2 linked regions of the Saccharomyces cerevisiae S288C genome follow. Changing the gene in region 1 together with any one later gene gives a genetic interaction. Each region holds a gene or a part of one and is shown in the gene's direction. Other genes may lie near its edges.

What was found.
Region 2: mutations in YJL213W (region 1) and UFD1 together harm fitness more than expected from each alone (negative genetic interaction), as found in Saccharomyces cerevisiae (2 studies listed by BioGRID).

Annotation. Positions count from the first base shown.
Region 1 is NC_001142.9:29,975-33,799, forward strand, and holds YJL213W (uncharacterized protein), read left to right. Parts: upstream 1-2,188; coding exon 2,189-3,184; downstream 3,185-3,825.
Region 2 is NC_001139.9:588,070-591,740, forward strand, and holds UFD1 (polyubiquitin-binding protein UFD1), read left to right. Parts: upstream 1-1,756; coding exon 1,757-2,842; downstream 2,843-3,671. Other genes in the region: transcription factor TFIIIC subunit TFC4, read right to left, coding at 1-1,400; SCM4 (Scm4p), read left to right, coding at 3,245-3,671. UniProt on the Saccharomyces cerevisiae protein: Functions at a post-ubiquitation step in the ubiquitin fusion degradation (UFD) pathway. Has a role in the endoplasmic reticulum-associated degradation (ERAD) pathway.

The DNA of each region.
Region 1 (3,825 bases):
ACGAACGTCATTATTTGTAAGTAGACAACTGGGAATTTTAAAAAAGGTTGAGAAGATTCGTTTTATAAAATATGACGTCGTAAAAGAAGAAAGTGACAATACTGTTGCTGCGGGTTAAAAAAATAATTCTCCTACAAGCTTGAGACCTTTATTACAATTCCTACCTAAATTGGCTCTTCAGGGGGGTTTTCTAGGCAGGTATCTCTAGAATTTACTCAAGAAGTTTATTTTCTAGTGCCAAAAAGTCTACTGCTGATATTCGCTTCTACTGATTAAGAGCTGCTTTAAACCATCTTGTTGCAACATTGAGTTTGGACTTAAAGCCTCAAGTTGTTAGTGATGTTGCTTTTCAGGATGACGTGTAGTTGATCATCTTACAGAAAAGGAAGCAATGGTACGTATAAGATATTATTTTAAATGAGAAGTAGCTGGTCTTCAAATCACAGACATTGTGATGGCAAAGCAGTGATAAATAAAGTTTTCACACCCAAAGCAACATCTTTCCAAACCGTTTGTGTGCCGTGGTGAACAGATAGAAGAGGGCACTGTTATTCAAATTTTGAGGGTCGGGAGAATTAACTCGTTAATTATTCCTGGTGTCGAATTTGCGTCATTCCTAAACTTGGATATTCTTATATGGCAAAAAAAGAATTTTTTATGCCACCAACACGACGGCATATTCTGGAGTGATTATAGCCACTGCTAACAAGATAAGGCGGTAACACCCGATTGTGCAGATGTCCTCATTTATCCTGTTTCCGAGCATTTGATTAACCGTCTCTGTGAGACCAGTTAAAGACCTCTCTCAAGAAAAATATGTAAATTTTTTTCAGCCACTTTATCGGCACTGGAACGAAACGATATGGTATTCCCAGTATCAGCCACGGCCCCGTGTAAGCCGTAAAGTAAACAAAAATTTTTACCACTAATTTCGTTGCGTATCAATTTATACTATTCTTTGTGAAAACCTACACAGACTACCAACAGAAATTTTTTTGGTCAAACGAGTCCAGTCTGGTTATTCGCTGGTTCATGTAAAATGTTAGCACCATCTACAGATTCCGAACATTAAAATCGTATTATGCATAATATAGACATTAATGAGCAATCTGTTCATTACCCCCTTATCGTATGGCAACAGCTATTCCTGATGTAATAGTGATGTTATATTGCTTTCGCCATTATTAATTTTGAGGAAGCTTTCCAAACAGATTACATAGCTAACTAATTGCAATTTTGCGACGCCATAAGGATACGCGATTTCCTCCTTTTCTTTTTCGCGTTGTTCTGTGCGCTCTTTTTTTCAGCCAAAAAGGGTTCCTGAACAAAAAGACCCTGTTTTTTTTCTGCCTGTTAACTCTGATCTTAAAAAGTTACCAATTTTCTAACATTTCTCAATAAAGACCCTTCGATAAACAAGATTCTTGAGAAATAAAAATTTTTGTGACGTTTACTTTTGAAAGTCCTTGAAGAATTCATTACTAATAGAGAAAAAATGGTGATAATTTTTTTACTTCACCTCCTTTCTACTATCCCTCTTATTCGGATTATCTAGCTTTAACTTCGCCAGTTTTTTCTTGACACACTTCACAGATGATGGTGCCTTCATGTCGGCATGACGCATTATCTCCATACTAAAAAATGATCCGACAATATCTCCTTCCTATTTGATCAGCCTCTTATCGTTCGTAAACGACGTAACTTGACGGAGAACGGAGAACTTGTTGAATAGAGAAGAGTATGTCGGTAATTGATCTCCGATATGAGCGAATATAAAAGCAACATATTTGCTGGTATGTAGCGTAGCTTTTCTTTCCAATTGACGGGACATCGAAACAGTATATTAACCGAGATAAAAATGACGACTTATCAAATCGATGTCAATGAAGGAATGAACAAGTCCCTGGCCGACTTGGTGGCACCATAGCGCCCAGAGCCACTCAAAAATTACTGTATAAGTAACACTAATTTGATAGATGTGGTAAGCGGTGTCAGTCTCCTCGGAGCTTACATCTTCATAGAACAGGGTGTCATTTCCAAGGTCGAATTTGGTTCTGAAAAGCCGGTAACCGTTGATGAAGTTGCCTTTGAAATTATTGACGGCACCGGTAAGTATGTCACTCCAGGTCTGATCGACAGTCATGTCCACATTGCGTCGGTTGCAGGAGAGGCTGATCTGACCAAGTTAATGCTGATGCCAAAGTCAGTTGCATTACTCAGAATAAGATACACTTTGGAAGCCGCTCTGGCAAGAGGTTTCACAACAGTGAGAGACTGTGGGGGTGCAGAAGGCTTTCTGAAAGCAGAGATTCGTCAGGGATCCTTGAATGGTCCCAGATTAATTACGTGTGGACATGCCATTTCCCAAACTGGTGGTCATGGCGATCTGAGATCTGGTGCCCTACCTGCTAGTGCCTTTGACAGCTGTTCATGCCACTTTGGTCAAGTTGGTGTTGTAGCAGATGGTGTTCCCGAATGCTACAAAGCGGCCAGAGAAGAGTTTAGAAGAGGTGCAGACTTTATTAAGATTATGGGTGGTGGAGGTGTGGCCTCTCCAACTGACAAAATATCAAACAAACAATTTTGCGACGACGAAATAAAAGCACTTGTAGATGTCGCAAATAGTTACCACACATACGTAACAGCACACGCCTACACTGCGGAAGCGATACAAAATTGTATCAAGTTAGGTGTTAAGGGTATCGAACACGGAAACTTATTAGATGAACGTACCGCAGAGCTTATGGCAGAATTGGGTTGCTACTTGACTCCAACACTAGTTACCTACAAAGTGATGGGTTCTGATCAATTTAGTGCATTCTTGGGACCTGAAAATAGTAGAAAAAATACAGAGGTGCTTTACAAAGGAATTGATGCAATGAAAATTGCCCAGAAAAAAAAAGTTAAAATTTGTTTTGGTTCAGATTTATTGGGTCCTCTATATGGTTATCAAACGCAAGAGTTTCGTATTAGAGGGAAAGTTCAAACGACACAAGAGATTTTGCTCTCAGCAACTGTTACTCCTGCCGAAATGAACGGATTAGGCGATAAATTGGGACAGATTAAGCCAGGGTTCATTGCTGACCTACTGATGATGAAATCAAATCCGTTGGACGATATAACGATTTTGGATGAACCCGAGAGCAACATACTATTTGTCATGAAAGAGGGAAGGATATATTGATGTAGTTATAGTTGTTTTCACAGTCAGCATTATTTCTGAATGCTAGAAGCCTTTTTTTTTTTGAAGTCATAATAAAATATTTGGCTTGTAAATTTAAGTATTGAAGTCAAAATATCCTACTTATATCACAGTGAAATGTGAGGTGGATATGGCCCTTTAGGGCCCTTAATTTTACAAGTTACAGAATCTTTTTTTTTTTTATAGCATTTGTAAGGTCCGTGTATTCAGAAAAAAATCCAAGCTTAAAAAAGTGTATATAACATTTGGTATCTGAAATACGGATCTATCATAAAATAGAACACCTCAAGGAGGTATAAATTTTAAAAGTTTTTTTATTGTATGCTCGTGCCCGTTTTTTCTTAAAGTCGGAATTTGTTATCGAACACTTGGCATGCGCTAAAGATCGTTAATTTACAAAAATAAGGCGGATGAGATGCCTCCGCTAAATATTGCAGGGGTCGCTTTGAATGTTTCGACCAAAATGTGCTCTAAAATATAGAAATATCATTATTAACAGTATAATTAAACGTTGAGATAAAGTATTTCAAGTTAAGCAATATGAAAGGATGACAGAAAAGAAAATAATTTCTTAATATTACAGAATATGAACTAAAGTTTGCTATTACGTGTGCCAAATTTTG
Region 2 (3,671 bases), on another chromosome or scaffold:
GCAACGTCACTGAAAGTCTCATCATACAGGCATTGAAAATGATTCAGAGCTTCAACAAGGTTATCTGTGTTCAATCTTAACAATCCCAATCTAACTCTAATATCGATTGGAATGTTATACGATTTTTCCTTTTCTGCGGCAAGTAGTGAATCAAAGGTACTGTTTTTAAACCTTCTATTGTCAAATTCTGAATCATCTGGAACATGATCCCAAAATGTCTGGCTTTCGCGGCGTTGAATCCACCGTGCACATTTTTTAATTGTCTTTATACCATCGACCTCACTAACTGCGAGTTTTAAGAAAAGTTCCGCGAGAATGTTCAAAGAAGACCAGTCAAATGGTATGCATTTATATTTTGCATCAATTTTTTTCCAGTTGATGTCAGGAAACATCTGCCTATCTTCATCTTGTTCAAGGGGTTCCTTTTCGTCTGCATCCTCCCCTTCTGCGGCGCTTTCTTCGTCTGAAGAATCTAAGGCATTTTCTAAAGCAGCTAATATCGCTTCCCTTCTCTCAACATTAGCATTAAACACTTTCATATAGAGCTCAATTGAATCTTCAATCCGATCATAATCAACATAAAGAATGGCCAACTCCCTCAATATGTTTGCATCATAAGGATTGTACATGTAAAGCCTTTGAAATCCATCTAAAGCTCTTGCTAACTGTCCTGTCTTCTTGTACAACATAGACCGGCGATAAATTGATTCCCATTCCATAGGATTCAAACTTATTACCCTGGAAAAGCAGTAGATGGCCTGCCTAACATGATCTAAATCGGCGGACAGTATAGCGACTATCTTCCAGAATTCCCAATCGGAAGCATTTAGGTGAGCTGCCAGGAACCAAGAGTTACAACAATCATTAAGCCTTCCTTGCAATTGATATATATCTCCTAGGGTCTCGTAAGCAGCAAAATTACGTGCATCTTTTTTAATTACCTCATTAAATAATCTTTCGGCCACTTGTAAATCATTCCTGACAAAAGCTTCATTGGCTTGAGAAAGTAATTGCGCTACCTCTGGATCAAGCACTCTTTCTTTTCTTTGGCGGCCGTAAGATTTACCTTTGTCATTTTTCTTCTTCTTTTTTACCTTAAAGTTACTTGCTTCCCTAATCGCGTTCATGAAATCTTCCTCATCGTCTTCAGATATTTCACCGTAGTCCGAGAATTCTGCCAACAAAGAACTGTCTCGTTCGGAATTATATTCATCTTCGCTTAATTGTAGATCATGAGGTACATCCTCGTCATCATATTCCTCATCTTGAATCAAATGCTTATAGTCATCAATATTTCCGTATAGATGCTCTTCATCCTCATCGTTAACTTTACCCGTATCAGCGCTTTCTCGTTCAGCTGATTGATTTTGCTGTTCCTTTTTCAATTTTCCTGCTGCCATCACAGATACACTTGAGGGTTTCTTTCTCTAGCTTCAGATTCATTGTTGACTGGTGTTATTATACACAGTGCGCTGCCATTATTATCGTTCTTCTATTTCTAGCCGAAGCGCCTTAAAAAAAAAAAGTGTCCACTTTGGGAAACTCGCCTTTACGACGAAAAAGTCAAACTTGCGTTCTACGAAAGAGAAGAATTCCTTTTTTGGGTTAGGTGGCGAAAAATAAAGGTAGTTAAAAGTAATCCTGGCTGGTCTATGTGAATAGGGAAGAGATAATGATGTAGTTTTCAATAGATAGTAACACATACCATAGCAAGGGAGGAAAAAATATCAAAGTGATACTGTAAAATATAATAAAAATGTTTTCTGGCTTTAGTTCTTTTGGCGGCGGAAATGGTTTTGTAAATATGCCTCAAACGTTTGAGGAGTTCTTTAGATGCTACCCTATAGCTATGATGAATGATAGAATACGGAAGGATGACGCAAACTTCGGCGGGAAAATATTCCTGCCACCAAGTGCTCTAAGCAAACTATCCATGTTGAACATAAGATACCCCATGCTTTTTAAACTAACTGCCAATGAAACTGGACGTGTGACACATGGAGGTGTTTTAGAATTTATTGCTGAAGAGGGCAGAGTTTACTTACCACAATGGATGATGGAAACTTTGGGTATACAGCCAGGATCTCTACTGCAAATTTCATCTACTGATGTACCTCTGGGCCAGTTTGTGAAGTTAGAACCTCAGTCTGTAGATTTCTTGGATATTTCCGACCCCAAAGCAGTTTTGGAAAACGTACTGAGGAATTTCTCGACTTTGACCGTGGACGATGTTATTGAGATTAGTTACAATGGTAAAACTTTCAAAATTAAGATCTTAGAAGTCAAACCAGAATCATCATCGAAGAGTATATGTGTCATTGAAACAGATTTAGTAACAGATTTTGCTCCACCTGTAGGATATGTGGAACCGGATTACAAAGCGCTGAAAGCTCAGCAAGATAAAGAAAAAAAGAATTCTTTTGGTAAGGGCCAAGTTTTGGATCCCTCGGTGCTTGGCCAGGGATCGATGTCCACAAGAATCGACTATGCGGGTATCGCTAACAGTAGCAGAAACAAACTATCTAAATTTGTAGGTCAGGGACAAAACATATCTGGTAAAGCTCCGAAAGCGGAGCCCAAGCAAGATATAAAAGATATGAAGATAACGTTTGATGGCGAGCCCGCCAAGCTAGATCTGCCTGAAGGCCAATTATTCTTTGGTTTCCCAATGGTCCTACCGAAAGAAGACGAAGAAAGTGCCGCTGGTAGCAAATCCAGTGAACAAAATTTCCAAGGCCAAGGGATCTCACTAAGGAAGAGCAATAAGAGAAAAACGAAAAGTGACCATGATTCGTCCAAGTCCAAGGCTCCCAAAAGCCCGGAAGTAATCGAAATTGACTAAAAGATATATACTAGTATACAACAATATAGTGTCTTTGACAGATATATAGAGCATTTTCAAGTTAACAGATCTTAGAATCCAAGTATCTTATGCATCGCATTAGCTCTGCTGCATTTGCTGTTCGTTTAGTAAAAATAATTACGTGCGCGGTTGCGCGATATTTCCCTTGCTTAATGCCGAAGTAATTCTCTTCGTTTACCCATACTCGAATCTATTGTGTTGTTGAAAAATAAAAAAAAAAAGAACCAGGTTATATAATTGTGAGTTGATCAGTATATAAATGAGAGAAAAGAAGTTTCTATTGTTCCAAATTATATCCAAGCTGATTTTTTAACCCTTACCTCACGAAAAGCAAGTTTAAGACAAACACTCATAAGAATCCTTACATATACTAAAAAACAAATGCAAGTCTCCCCAGCTATTGTAAAAGGTATCGCAGTCTCATCATTAGGTTTATACGCCGGTATTTTAACTTCATCTACCGTGATTTCTATTACCACCCCAATAAATGTTCTAACTCAACATTTGAAGAATGTTTTGTGCACATTAGGATGCTGGAGCACCGTTTTAGGTGGTTTAGCTACTGGTGCCTTTGGACTCAGCTACTATCTAGCTGCACCAGGAGAAAGACCAAACTACCTTTTGTGCGGACTTGGTGTCGCCCCATTATCTGCAGCCTACCTATACTTAGTATCACTGTTCAATCACAAGCTAGCCCCAAAATGCACACGTGACCAAAATGATTTAGAAAAGCAAAAGGATGAAAAATTACCCCAACATCACCCGGAAGTCAAAGATGGGGAAGCTGCATGCCCATTCTCAAAGATGA